2 linked regions of the Notamacropus eugenii genome follow. The protein of the gene in region 1 purifies or fractionates together with the protein of each later gene. This does not show direct contact. Links are inferred from orthologs where the notes say so. Each region holds a gene or a part of one and is shown on either strand. Other genes may lie near its edges.

Region 1 (7,933 bases):
GTCCTGATTTCACACACAACTGCCCCTTGAGCTATGACATGCAGCTCCTCATGGGCAGAGATGGACACATGGGACTGGGAGAGAAAATAAAGATCTGCTGTTTCTAAGGAAGGCTCTGAAGGTCATGTCTACCCACCGCAGAATTTAGCAATCATGGTGCAGATGGCACAGGCAGGAAAGTAATACTAAGCCTCAGCCAGGACATGACAAAGAATACACTCCTACTTGCACACTGCTACCCTGTTTACCTACCTCCTGCACCCCAACCCTCACCCCCAAGTCAGAAAAGGCAAGGCTGTTTTTTAAAGCATTAGGTCTTTTCAATTCCCACTCAATTCCTAGACCCGAGAGAGTTAGTCCATAAGATCCAGCCCTATACCACAACTAACCATAAGAACCCCAAGCCACACAGCAAGGAAAATTAACTCTCCCCAAGGCCAAGGTTCACACTCTACGGAGACATGAAGTAAGCCTCGAGGATAGAATTTGTATCATTTCCACCATCTGAGCCTCACCAAAGTCCTTCATGCTGTCAGGGTCTGTGTCATCTAAGAAGAAGTAGCCACACTTGACAGCCCGGTGCACCTCAAAGCAGAGTCCCAGACAAGCATCTTCCACCAGGTCTGTGTAAATCTCATGAGCGATGGCCTGGGCCCCCCAAAAGAACAAGAGTGATTGCAGGGGCCCTTTTCACTTGAGCCTTACTTCCCTAATGTTACCTACAACTGCTTCAGACCCAAGCACGAGAGGCCCAGCCTCCATCCTGAATTCCTATTCTTCTTTCTCCCAGTTCTCAAGGCTTTCAGTTATTCCTTTCCCCAAAAAAGTGGTTATCCCATATTCCTGGAGCCTAACGTTGATAGCTGAAAGGAACTTCAGAGATCATCTAGTCTATCCTCAGAACATTTCATTCAACCTCCTCATTTTTCAAAAGGAAAAACTTAGTTATGGAAAGTTGATGTGACCTGTCCAAGGTCACACAGGTAGAAAATGGCAAATGCACAATTTGAACTCAAGCCTTTTCTAACTCGAAATCCTCCGGTGCCTTTTCTACCCAACGGTTTCTCTTTGCTGCTGATAATGAATATAGATAACCAGAAAACAAAGATGACAGACAAACAGATGGGAGAGAGCTCTCACCTCCAGCTTGCTGTTATCCAGGCCAGACAAAGACATTTCCTCCATTTTCATTTGCAAACTCTCGTGGAGAAGACGTTCTGACTGCTCATAGCACAGCAGGAGGCCACACAGCTGTACACATGGAGGGTTGGGGGAGGAAGGGTAGCTTAAGTCCAGAGGATCTCTACTACCTACTCTCCCCCAGCCCCAGCTCCCCTCTCCCTTCATAATTTACTGATCCCTGAGTTCTTCCACCTTGTTTAAAAATATTCTTTCAGTGGTTGGAAACCTGAAACTCTCTTGAAGTAGGGTGGAAGGGAGAAAATTATACAGATTCCTAAGCTTGACCCTTTCCACCATCATACACACATCTCATCCCCAAAGTGACTTCTGTTTTGCCATGGTGGCCACAGAAGGCCTGGAGCTATGCCACCTTAGGTAACTCCCTGTCCTAGACCTTTGCCGAATTCTCACATAAATTTAGAGAAAGAAGGTATCTTACGGATTTTCTAGTCCAACCACTTCACTTTACAAATTAAGAAACTAAGACCCAGAATAGTTAAATGACTTACCCAAAGTCATAGTAACTGGCAGGAGGACCCTGGGTCTCTCCTCATGAAATAAAACCAAACCAAAGCAAGGAAGCTAACCTTGTAAGAAGGTTAAGATAAAGGAGCAAGGAACCGGGCAGGATTTTTGCATTACAGTGCAGAGAAATGGATTTTGAATCACAGAACCAGGGTTTTAGTCTTGGCTCTATCACTTAATACTTGTGACCTTGGGCAAATTACTTAACCTACTAACCTTAGGGCCTCCCTTTCCTTATCAGTAAAGTGTAGAGGGTGGAACTGAGGAGCTCTTAAATTCTTGCCAGTTGTACACCTCTTATTCAGCATTGATTAAGGATTAAGAGCTAGGAATTGGAAGATCTCCCCCAGCCCCCACCCAACAATCCCATGCCCAAGGAGGACAGCATGGCAGAAAGCAGTAACCCATCTCACCGGTTCCCTCCTCCCAACAGTGGAGTCTCTGGAGGTGTCAAGGAGCCCCCCTCCCCCTTTAGGGCTAAGAATACCCTAGGGCTTGTGAATGGAGGTAGGAACGAGGCACTTAGGTTGGGGACTTTAGTTTTTCTCCCCCACCCTGCCCGATACTGCATTGACGCTGCATCACCCTGGGGGGGGGGGGGGGTAGGGAGGAGCCCAAACCACACCAGTTCCCATCTCTTCCAGTCCTGGGGAGAAACAAGGTCCTGCCCCACCCCACAACCTCCCAGGCCCGGGCATCCTCCCTGCCCTGCCCCGCAGGAAGGGGTGCTCCAGGGGACTATTGTCCGAGCTCCTCAGGGCAACCTGGTCTTCCCTCCCAAACAAAGGGCAGCGCCTTCCTCGGCCCCGGGGGCCTCCCCCATCCCAAGACAAGCGCGGGGGGAGGGGAGGAGGGAAAGAGGGCACGCCACACCCCGGGACCGAGAAACACCCACTGCTTCCGGGACTTGGGGGAGGGGCGGGGAAGAGAACGCGGGCCCGGCAGCGGCGGGTCAGAGGGCGCGAGGGTCAAGGGTCAGGGGGCGGAGGCACGGGACCCCAGGCCCCTCCCCTCCCCCCTCACTCACCCCGCCCGGGGGGCTGCGCCGGGGCCCCGGGGCCTCTCGGCCTCTCAGGGCCGCGTCCTCCGGCGGCGGCGACGGCGGCGGCTGCTGCTGCTGCTGCTGCTACTTCTCCGGGGACCCATGTCCGTCCGTCCGTCCGCCCTCGCCTCGCCTCCCGGAGCCGGGGGTCGAGCCGCCTCCTCCCCCCCGCCGCCGCCTCAGCGGGCGGCCATGGCCCCTTCCTTCCCCTCCCTCCTGGCCTCGCTGCCTCGTCACCGCCTCCTGCTCACCTCACCCCGCCCCTCCTCCTCCAACCTCCCCCCCGCCCCGGGACGATCCAGCCCGCCTCTCCCGGGCGGGGGGCGCGGCGCGAGGAGCCCAGAGCGCGCGCGCGCGAGGTAAGCCGGGCGCGCGCGCCACCCCGCCCCGCGCTCGGCCTCCCCGCAGCGGCCTCGACCCTCGGGCCCCTCCCCTTCTCCCGCTGTCCCCTCCCTCACTTCCTGTCTTCCTGCACTCTCTTCCGCGCGCGCAGCGGCTGCTCGAGCTAGCGGGGTCCCGGCGCGTGCATCTGCCCCGCGGGCCGCCGCTCGGCCGCATTGGCTATTGGGGGCGGAGATGGGGCGGGGGAGGCGGAGGGAGCCGAGCGGAGAGGAGGAGGGCCACGCCGCGGCCGAACGTCCCGACGGCCGTACCTCCCTAGAGAGTGTGCGGAGGGGGCGGGGCCTCGATTGTCTTCTCCTCGCCAATAGGAAGCACGCATCCCCGCCGACAGGCCTATAGGACCGCACGGAGCGGAAGCGGTGTTTAAAGCAGGGGTGCGCGAAGCTTGGGGAGGTGGATACTTTGTTGCAATCCCGGCCGGCTAACTGGGCGGGGAGCCGGTGGTGTTGAACTCTGGTGGCCGCTCCCCTCCATTCCCCTCCCCGCTCCCTGGGGACGCCTCTGGACCCGCAGTCCCCGCCCTTTTCCCGGGGAAACCCCGCCTCTCGCATTGCAGGCCCAGTGTTCTGGGGAACGTGGCTTAGTGAATGCCGCTGGTTCTTGCTGATTTACCCTTTTTCTGGGCTGCGAAGAGGGTCCCAGGACTTCTAGCTGTGGGGCCAGACGCTGCCCCTTGAACCCCCCTAACTCCCCCCCTTCCCCGCCTCCCAGTGTCTACGCCTCCACCCCCCAACGTGCCTTTCAATCGCCCCTCCCACTGTACCAAGGGTGCCACCTTCCTCCATCTATTTGTCACCTGGTCGAACTCCTTATTCTCTAGCGATTGCCAAGCCATTGTTAGTCTTTTCATTAAAAAAATAATTTCAATGAATAATAGTTAAAATTTTCACATACAAATGTATCTTTGTTCTTCCCACCTCACACCTTCCTTCGTTGGGAAAAAAGAAAAAGCCCTTGTAAGAAATATGCATAGTCAGGCAAAACAAATTCTCTTACTGGCCGTTTCCCAACACGGTGTTGTAATCTACCTCCTGGTTCCATCACCAGTCTCTCAGTAAGTGGGCAGCACATTTCATTTGGGGTCCTCTGAAATCCTGGTTGGTCATTGTCTGGTTCAGAGTTCTGAAGTCTTTGACAGTTCCTTGTCTTTAAATTTATTTTTTTTTACATTAAAGACTTGTTTTCTTTGCTTCCCACTTCATCTCCACTGAAAAAAAAGGAAAAAGCTCTTTAAGCAAATATGTATGGTCAAGCAAAACATTTTTAAATTGGCCGTGTTTATAAAAAAAAAACGATGTGTTTCAATCTGCATCCCAAATCCATCACCACTCTCTCAGGAGATCAGCGCGTTTCCCGTTGGGTCTTGGGGAAATATGGCTGGTGATTTCATCGATCAGAATTCTTAAGTCTCTCAAGTTTGTCTTTACAATGTTGTTAACTGTGTAAGTTCTCCTGCTTTTGCTCATTTCATTCTGCTCAGTTTATTTGTTATCCCATGTTTCTCTGATAGCCTCCCTTTCATCATTTCATTGAGAACAATAAAATTCGTTACATTAATACATCATAATTTGTTCAGCCATTCTTCAACTGAAGGTCATTCCCCTATTTTCCAGTTCTTTTCAGCTACAAAAGAAAAAAAATAAGCTGCTATAAATATTTTTGCATATGGGTCCTTTTTCTTTGACCATTTTGTAGCATAGCTTAGGTATTTCTACGTTAAAGGGTCTAGTAATACAGGCCTACTTGTGGCAAATGCACAGTTTAGTAACTTTGGGGGCAAAGTTCCAAAACTGCTTTCCATAATGACTGAATCAATTCACAGCTCCACTAACAGTGCATTTTCCCCTCATAACCCCTCTCACATTTGTTATTTTCCTTTTATGTCAACTTTGCCAGTCTCTTAGTCTTTTCTCAATGAACTCAAGGTTCTTCTCCAACCTCAAACCCAATCTTCATATTTGGGGACTTCAAGATAATTGGCAGTCTCCTGAAACAACTAGAGCTCACAGTTTAAGTGCTTCAACTCCCATGACCTCCATCTTTTCTACCCCTCAGTTGCCTAGAACTCCTCAAATAATCAGATCATCACCTGTAATGCAATTATTCCATGTCCTGCATCTAAATCTCTGAATTCCTATCGTCACTACCTGGCACCTCTTAAATCTGTTTTTTATGCTTATGGTGGCCTCCAATCTTTCTATCCCTTCCTGTTTTATTCTCTGTCTTCCTTTCCATGCCTTCATGACCTTGACCAGTTCAACCACATACTGTTAGTTACCTTAGACTCTTTACCTTTTGGTCCTCTCATCAGCTAGCTATTCCTTGCCAAACTGCTGGATTACTGCCACCATCTGCTATCTCTCTTCCTGCTCATGTCTCACAGAAGTCCTTTGGGGAAAGTCAGACACCATGAATAAAATTAGTGTAGATGGAATTAGAAGAGAAGCAGTTCATTGGAGAAAATATCTTTGCAACACATATCTATAATAAGGATATCTAAGATCTGATATACAAGATTTAAATGCATAAGAACAAGAGTCTTTCGCCAATAGATAAATAATCTGAAGAGGTAGGTTTTTTTTTTTGAGCAAGGAAAGAAAAATCTTTTTTTTTCTTATCACTTTCACTTCCTAATGTATTTCTCTCCTCTCCCTACAAAAAGCCATGCTTTATATGACAGGGGGCTGGCCAATGAGAGCCCAGCTTGGGAACATGTGCAATCTTCTTTGCCTGGTATAATCCATATGCATAATAGCATGTCCTGCTCCCCATTTCAGAGCATGCCCAGGTATTCTATAACTATTTGCTGTCTGATTACTATGTGCTGAAGAAAAGGCTGACTGCTGAGCCAGAAAAAAATAGACTATGCATGCAAAAGGTACTAACTAGCCAAATGGACCTCCCTTTCCCAGCCTAGTTAGAATTGGTCACTCCATATAGCGTTGGGGATACAAAGAAAGACAAAAGACAAGAGCCCCTCCCAGTCTAATGGGAGAGACAACAAATAAACAACTGTGCAATAACAAGCTATATACAGGATAAATAGGAAGTAGCCGACAGAGGGAAGGCACTAGAATTAAGAGGAATTGGGAAAGGCTTCCTTTAGAGAGTAAGGAGCAGGAACTTCTGGGGGCTTCAAGGTGGAGGAGGGGCCTTGGGGCTGTCTCTCACCTATTTGCCAAGAAGTCAAAGGGGCATGGCCCAGCTATTTTGATGTCCCTATTGTTCAGTCTTTATGCCCCTATTTGGGGTTTTCTTGGCAAAGGTACTGGAGTGGTTTGCCATTTCCTTCTCATCTCCAGCTCATGTTACAGATGAGGAAACTGAGGCAAAAAGGGTTAAGTAACTTGCCCAGAGTCACACAGCTAATGTCTAAGGTTGAGCTTAGATCATCCTGCATCCAGGCCTGGTGTTTTTCTATCCACTGTGCCACCTAGCTGCACCCCCCACCCATTGTTTTTGTCTGTTAGTTATATCTGACTCTCCATGATCCCATTTGGGGTTTCCTTGGCAAGGATACTGGAGTGGTTTGCCATTTCCTTCTGCAGCTCATTTTATAGATGAGGAAACTGAGTCAAACAGGGTGAAGTAACATGCCTAGGGTCACCCAACTAGTAAGTGTCTGAGGCCAGATTTGAACTCAGCAAGATGAGTCTTTAGTCAGCTACTAAGTATCTAAGGTAAAATTTAAACTCAGGCCCCTGCACCATCTAGCTGCTTCAAAGATAAGAATAGTCCATAGTAGAAAGAGCCATGTCTTTGGAGTCCAAGGACATGGGTTGAAGATCCTCCTCTGATGCTCCTTATATGATTTTGAAGATGTTGTTTAGGCTCCCTGGGCCCCAGTAAAGTGAAAGGGAAAGGTGGAGCCTTTTATTTCTAGACCTATGGCCTGTCATTGTGAAAATACTGATAGTAGCACTTCTTGTAGTAGTAAACATTTGGAAGAAAAGGGAATGCTCATTGGCTGGGAGATGATTGAACAAGGTTGGCATGTGAATGAGATTAAAATCATGCTTTATGAAATTACCTCTGAATATGAAGAATTCAGAGAAACTTGGGAGGACTTATACAAACTGATTTAAAGCAAAGAAATCAGAACAAGAAGAACAGTGTATGTAATGACCACAATTATGTAAAGGAAAATAACTTTGAAAGACTTTACAACTCTGATCAATGCAGTGACCAATTATAATCTCGAGCAGCTAGATGGTACAGTGGATAGAGTGCTGGGCCTGAGCTTAAATCTGACCTCTGATAGTTAGTAGCTGTGTGATCCTGAGAAAATCAATTAAATTAATCCTGTTTGCCTCAGTTTCCTCATCTATAAAATAAACTTGAAAAGGAAATGGTAAGCCACTCCAGTTATCTTTGCCAAGAAAATCCCAAAGGGATCACAAAGAGTTGGACATGACTGAATGACAAATTATAATTTCAGAGGATTTGATGGTGAAGCCTGTCTCCCTTCTTTCTGCAGAGAGGTGGCAGACAGAAGTGTGGAATAAACACATACCTTTTGAGACAGGACCATTCTGGAGATATGCTTTACTCAACTGTATTCATTTGGTTATAAAAAAAAAGGGTTCTATGGGTGTGAGGGAATTATTGAGAAGTGTTAAGAATGTGAGGAAAAAAGCAACAATAAAATTTTTACCCCCCCCAAAAAAGTACCACATAACCAAGTTGTCTGGATTTTACTGGTTTTATGTCATCTAATCATTGGGACTCTTACAGCACAATAATCCTTTTATTTTAGACTGAGTCTGATTACAACTCTGTCTC
Region 2 (7,180 bases), on another chromosome or scaffold:
TTTCTTTCCCTGTAGTCCTTCCACATCTCCCCCTGGCATGGGCCCTACGTTTATGTGATGCCCTATCAGTACTTCTTTTGGGGGTGGGGATTATAGGGGAATGAAAAGATAGAAAAGACATGGTTCCTGCCTTAAAGACCTTGCAGTGCAGTAAGGAGATAACATATCCATATTGAATATGGGTTCTATTAAATATAAGCAATTCCCTTCATCAAGCAGATTGCAACCCATCCATTTTTGCCAATCCATTCACACTAATCTTCCCATGAATTCACCATAGAGTGCTCCACCCAGTCTGTAGGAGCTTGGTGTTCTTAGCTTTCTGTGGATACCAGTGGATCAGGCAGGCTGTCCATCAGTGTCTAGTGTCTTTTGCTCTGTGACCAGCCCATCTATTTTTCTGGCCACATACTTATCTGATAATATTTTTATATGATTTTTCATACATAGAATATTATTTTTAGAACTATAAGGGACATTAGAGGTCATTGAATCTAACCTTTTCATTTTACAGATAAGGAAACTGGCATACAGAGTCTGCTTGCCAAAAGTCACACAGCTAGTAAGTCTCTCAACTGGGATTCAAACCCATGTTTTCTTAATTTCAGGTCCAGTATTCTATCCACCACACCATCATGCCTCTTAGAATTTTGGGGTTGACTTTGGGTAGTTGCAGGGCTTTTTTTAATGGCCCCAAATTTCCTGAAACAAAGACCCACTAAAAAAATTCAATATACTTTTATTTGAAAAATAGGTCACAAACTCTTGAGTGCAGACCTGTTCTACCATTGTACAAGTTACAAATGCTTGACAGCTGAGGGCAAGCGTTTAGTAGCATTGAACAGTGAATAAAAATCCACATAAAACAAATGTCATACTAGAACCAGTATGACCTCATCTCCTGCTCTTCCATATTGTTGCATCTGAGTCAACGCTACTCTTCAAACACATTTAAAAACTCTTAAGAATTAAGTTAATACGCTCCCCAAATCCTCTCAATTCAAACTAAACTTACATTTAATGGCTATCAACAGTTTCTCTCTGTTGATACTAGCTGAAGTACAAATGATGCTGAGGAATGATGCTCCATTCTGCTGTACAAGCCTTAGACAGTGGCCCCATCCTGGGCCTTGACTTCTTAGAAAGCTTCTGCTCCTTGGTTTGTTGCCTGCATGGCAGTTCTGGCTTAGAGGTCACAATGTAGAGAGGGGCTCTGGAAGTCACTGAAAGGGAAAGTAGCTACAGGACAAGCACCCATGTTTTAAAACCACCTACAAGCTTCAACATGTATTTCTGGTAAAGCACAGCATTGCACAATTTGATCCAGACACTAACCTATTGGTCCTCATATGCTAGAAGAGTAATATTTCACATCTGGTTAAGTGTCTTCCACATCTTACCATGCCTGATCAAATGAGATGCTGTTCAACGTTTGATATTCTCCATCATTCACATGATACATAAAGGTTTGGTCATTTTCATCATTTTCTTCATCAGAACCTCTGTATTCCTTTAATATAGGTTGTTTGGTTTTTGGTTTTTGGATAATGATGTTAACCCCAAGTCCAAAAGGAATGCAACATAGTGTATCTCTGGTCAGATATGTCTGACTCTAGATTCAGAAGGAAAATATTTGACCAGTGTTGGGTGGATTACACTTGTTATCTGTTCATATTTAAGCTCGACCACTTCAGAACCAGATAAGCCACCACCAACCAGTATTAGGTGGACAACCTTAATGTCAGAGATACATCAGGCATCAGAAACTGCTTATACAAAGGTTTCTGGATCCATGCAATCATTTCACACATGAAACTGACTCCGGCAACATTCATATTCAGTGTTTTGGTTTTTTCCAGATCAGAGACAGCCTACTTATTTTGAATGGCACCAAACTCAACAAGTAGATGACAGACAGCTTTGGAGTTAGCAGTAACAGTCTGCAAAATGAACTTTGTCCAGTGATCTCTGGTAGTTTTCATTCACTTGACTTCACTGTCAGAAGTCATTTTCTCTCCCTTGTTGTCAGTGTACTTAATTTGTGACATTTGCTTAAAGGTGCCTAGATGATGCCCTTTGGAGGTATTTCAGTCTTGCTAGCATAGGACATTCAAACCCTGCTCCTGGAGTAGCAAACATCTTTCTAGCTCTGCCATTGTGACATTTGAAGCATAAAAAATATATTCGAAGAAATGCTCTGTACCATCCCACATGTTTCTTGAGGATGTCTCCAAGGTCAGCAACACAGAAGGCATCTTCATCATCATCAGAAGAAAAAGAAACATTAATTTGGGGGTAAAATATCCTTAAGAGTAAGCCTTCATCAAGTAAATTGGAGTCAAGTTTGTCCTTGCGAAACTGTTCATGGTTTCCAGGCATTCTTCAAAAGGACAACAAAATAGGAAATGAAGAGGTGGGATTTAGAGGCTAGCTCTTCAAGAATGTAAAGAGGCCACATTATGGACATCTCTGAATACTAAGCTAAGAAGTTTGAAATTCATTGATTCTCTATTGTTGATTTGGTCTCTTCATAAAGTTAGTGCTAATGGAAGAGAGGAAATGGGTGCATGGTAAATTTGGAGGCAGAATTGACAAGATTTGTAATAGTTGAGCATGTTGCCAAACTTCACAGAACAAATCTTTGTTTGATTTGTTCTGTGAAGTTTGGATTTAGTCAAAGGGCTGCACTTGAGGATCTAGAGGGCCACCTGTGGCCTCGAGGCCACAGGTTCCCTACCCCTGGTAGACATTTGAGCATGATCATGAGGACTGGATTATAATCTGGAAGAGGCAGTACATGTAGATAACACCTGTGAGAATCTAGAAGCCCAATACATGCATTCAATTAGCAAGTGTCCCTTACCTTGTATGGGGCATAGAGCCGTGGAGCAGAGAAGATGATCATTGCGATATGTCCCTGCTTTCGAGGATCTTAACTTGTAGTCGGAAAAGTGAAATTGTAATAAGGTAAATAGAGTTTAGAAAGTGCTAAATGTGCAAGAATACAAAATGTTCTGAGAACAGGTGAAGGAGAAATCTCTTTGGGATTATGCCTTAGGTCACTCTCGAGTTAACTGTGTGATTGTTCATGTTGTGTCCTGTGCTTGTCATTCATGGTTTATATGCAGTTCAAGTCTTGTCATGAGAGAGTTCATTAATGAGAAACCTCTAGGTAACCAATTTATTTATTTTTTATCCCACCACACATATTAGAAGTTTCATCTTAAGTGTTTGAAACATGAGCCTAGAGCCAGAAAGAAGACACTGACTTTATGTTCTCCAACAAGGATCTTTCAAGTACCTGTAGGATTTGTCATGGAATCAGCAGAGTTTAAAGGGAGCACGTCTGCACTGATCTTCATGGGTTCTCTGGCCAGTTTGTAGCTTTTTGTAGAACACTTTTCATCATTACTTTAATACCTCAAAAATATGTATTTCAGCAACACAGATCACAACCTCTCTACCCATTTGTGTGTAGTCTTCATGAGTTGTTATGGTTAAAAAAAAAATCTCAGAGTAGGAAGGAGCCTGAGAGGCCATCTTATCCAATCTTTGTTTGGACAAGACTGGTCCCTGGACAGCCAACACATAGTGTGCATCACAGGGCCTCTTCTTGCAGCCTTTCTAATGTGGTGTGACCAGCCAGTTTGCTTTCCACTGGAATAAGCCCCCACAAACCACTGTGCTACAGTGAAGCAGCAGAGTCTGCCTGTGTGAAACCAGTCATTGTGAGCACTCCATTAGTAAGCTAGTGCTGAGAGGTGAGACAACAGAATGCACTTTTTAAACAGGGACACATTAGAGTCGTGGTCAGGGATAGGGCAGAGAGGTACATGTGTATACACGCACACACACATGTGCACACATGCACTACTCAGAGTTTGCCAAAGTTCTGAAAGGATTGGTCTGATACTGATTCCAGCCCCAACCCTGTGGTGGTACAGCCAGACTGCACATCCCCACCTGTTGGTAGGCTGCTGTCAGTTTTATCTGCTCTGAGCTCATTCCTAACAATAGACATTTACCCTTCCAGGAGCTGGTGGGCACCCCCGGCAGCAAGCCTTAATAACACTGGCTTCGTGTGGCCAGGCAGGCCGTTTTTCTGGGTGCTCATTGAGGACAAGCAGCCTCCACTGCCTCCTCTCTCTGGCTAAGACCTGATAGCCCAAGTTGTCTGGTGCCAGTTGTTTACTTTCAGAAAGATTTAGGCAATGGCTGCTCCTCCTTTCACCGGGCTCACAGCAGTTGCTGATGTAATTAAAGATCTAGACGCTCAGATAGCTGTAAGTAAGCTAATTAATGCGACCATGGCATCTGTGGCCAAAGTTTTTGAGTGTGCACCATCTTGTCATGCTAACAGGCTCAGGCCATTTTTAAAAGGCTGATCTGGCACGATTAACAGAACCAAAAGATAACTTACTCTTAAAATTGTTAAGCTTTGTGCTTATTGGACATAACTGCATTGAGTGTCAGTGCATGATGTGGTGTGTCAGTTAACATGAGTTACTAATTTCTGAATCACTGGGGCTGTGCCCCTTTCTGCAGAGGTGGTTATGGTGTATAAGTGGAGTTTCTTTTTGGTTATTTGAATTTAACACATATTTTCCCCAGATGATCCTATGTCTTCACCAAATGTTCTGTTTTTATATAAACCTCAGAAATATCTTACTCTTTCCAGTCAGTGTCTGTGTATGACTTTTTGGTCTGTTTGTCTTCTTTCTGTTCTGAAGACCCTTTCAGAGAGTTGTTAAAGGAGAGATGATTTCCAAATGTCAGGGAAAAGCTATGCATTCGTTTCTCTCTCCATTTTTATAATCAAAGGTATTAATTTGTGACCATTTGAGGTGAACTCAGATTCTGAAAAAATCTAACAAACACACAGTTTTTTAAAATGTCCACCCTTTGTTACTGATGCTTCTAAAATATATTTTTATGTTTTCTTTCCCCAGTTGATTGGCCTCGGTCCCCATAATCCCAAAAAAAAACAGGACCTTGACAAGCTCCATGAACTGAAGGCCAAAGCTCGACAGATTATGAACCAGTTTGGCCCCTCAGCCCTGATCAATCTCTCCAACTTTTCATCCATAAAACCGGAACCTTCCAGCACCCCCCCTCAGGGGTCCATGGCCAACAGTACCACAGTGGGAAAGATGCCAGGCCCCCCAGGGGCAGGGGGGCGTCTTAGTCCAGAAAGCAATCAGGTATCAGTTGTCCTTTCGGCATGGGCTTCTGGGAGCTTTGTTCATTGTTTACTAATGCCGGTGTTATTTCTCTATGATAAAGGGAATATATACAAGCGTTGGGGTAAATTATTAGAAAAGAATAGGATAAGCATGTTTGAGTCAGTTGAGCTGTAGCTTTCTTAATTTAGTTCTATATTTTCTTCAACCCAGCCACCATTCTGAGACCTCAGTTGTTATAATTAAGCACCTACTGTGTGGCAGGTGAGAGGCAGAAGGGTGTAGTAGATAGAGGGATAGCCTTGGTCATTACAAACTGGGATTAAGTCCTGCCTCTGACACTCCAGCTTGTTACCCTGGGCAAATCACCGCTCTAAAACTATGAATGGCCCATCAGCACTGGCAGAGGAAGTGTCCTCACTGGCAACAGGCTTTTGCACAAATGAAATTAAAGATCCAGACCACAAAAAAGAAAATATGTTAGGCACTAGGGATGCAGAAACAGGGTAGTCCTCATCCTCAAGGAACTTAAAGAGTCTACAGCATATACACACTTTAGATACAGAATAATTTGGGAGAGGGGAAGAGCACTAGCAGCTGGGGGGATTTAAAGAGGGGGCCCTGAAGCTGAGCTTTGAGTGGGAGCTGGACATAAGGAGGGAGAATTTTCCACTTACAGCAGACAGTCTATACAAAGGCACAGCGTAGTGCAGAAAACAAATAGGCCAACTTGGCTATAAGGTGGAGGGGAGTGGGAGATAGGATTGTGAAATAAGCCAGGAAAAAGAAGGGATGGGAATAAGCATTTCTACAGCACCTACTATCTGTCAGGTACTATGCTAAGCACATTTTTACAAATATCTCATTTGAACGACTCTCCCGTGAGGTAGATATTGTCATTACTCATGTTTTACAGTTGGGGAAACTAAGGCAAATGGAGGTTAAGTGATTTTGCTCTTGTAAATAAACATCTGAGGCTGGATTTGAACTCAGGTCTTCCTGACTCCAGGCCCAGCACTCTATCCACTGAGCCACCTAGCTGCCTCTAAGGAGGTAGGTAGGATTGTAGATTTAGAGTTGAAAAGGATGTCAGACATTATGTAGTCTAACCTCTGTGTTATTGATGAGCAACTTGGGGCCCAGAGTTGTTAATTGGGGTCCTAGAGTCTAAGTCAGATTTGAACAGAAGTTCTTTGTCTCCAAATCCAGCAGTCCTTCCACTGTTGCGTAATGAATTTTTACTTATTTTGTTAAATGCTTCCGGTTACATTTAATTTTGTTCTGCTGCACTGGGAGTTTGAGGGACCCTAAGGGTGGGTTGAAGAGGTGGGGAACTTATTCTAGTAGCCCAGGTGTGAGACATGAGTCAGGGGAGCAACATCTAATGGAGGGACAAATCCAAAACACATTTTGAAGGAAGAATCAGTATAACTTAGTAATTTGATATGAGAAAAGAGAGTGGGATGAACCAAAGATCAGACCCCCAGCGCTTCTAGCCTGCACAACTGGGAGAAAGGTAAGGCTGTTGATCCCAAGTGAAGCTCAGAAAGAGGCCCTTTGTGCAGAGAATAAAAGGTCAGGTTTAGCAGGAAACCTCCCCCTGGTCAACAAAGCCAGGAGGTGGCCATGGGGGCAGTGGAGCACAGCAAGCAGAACTTAGATGGTTCCTTGGTGCCTTTGCCTGCCCTGGGGTCCTCGGGCATCTCTGCAGTCCCCCAAGTTCTCAGAATCTTTACACCTTCCTGGTTTACGTTGCTTCTCCAGGTGTGCAAGGCATTGCTGTCCTTTCCACCTGTTCTTCCTCAAGTGTGCTCCTGCCAGAGCCCTATGCTCCTCAGAAGCTGTTAGAGCTAGGGGGAGGAGGAATTTTCTAACCAAGGTCCTGTGGTGGGGGGTTACCTTGGAGCCTTGCATTGCTGGACAGACAGCTACAGGGCAGAATTTACATTAACCATGTCTTTAACTCTCATCACAAATTGACCTGTTTATGTATTTACCTA

What was found.
Region 2: the proteins of ATXN7L3 (region 1) and TAF12 purify together in Homo sapiens (affinity purification with mass spectrometry; 5 studies listed by BioGRID and IntAct, counting the BioPlex papers as one, with this or other methods). This does not show direct contact. The link is inferred for Notamacropus eugenii from reciprocal best matches to the Homo sapiens genes ATXN7L3 and TAF12.

Annotation. Positions count from the first base shown.
Region 1 is NC_092873.1:349,846,050-349,853,982, reverse strand, and holds the start of ATXN7L3 (ataxin-7-like protein 3), read right to left. Parts: upstream 3,007-7,933; 5' UTR 2,735-3,006; intron 2,037-2,734; exon of another isoform or gene 1,924-2,036; intron 1,252-1,923; 5' UTR 1,192-1,251; coding exon 1,141-1,191; intron 649-1,140; coding exon 516-648; intron 1-515. UniProt on the Homo sapiens protein: Component of the transcription regulatory histone acetylation (HAT) complex SAGA, a multiprotein complex that activates transcription by remodeling chromatin and mediating histone acetylation and deubiquitination.
Region 2 is NC_092876.1:69,738,194-69,745,373, reverse strand, and holds the start of TAF12 (transcription initiation factor TFIID subunit 12), read left to right. Parts: upstream 1-4,178; 5' UTR 4,179-4,211; coding exon 4,212-4,283; intron 4,284-4,949; coding exon 4,950-5,201; intron 5,202-7,180. UniProt on the Homo sapiens protein: The TFIID basal transcription factor complex plays a major role in the initiation of RNA polymerase II (Pol II)-dependent transcription.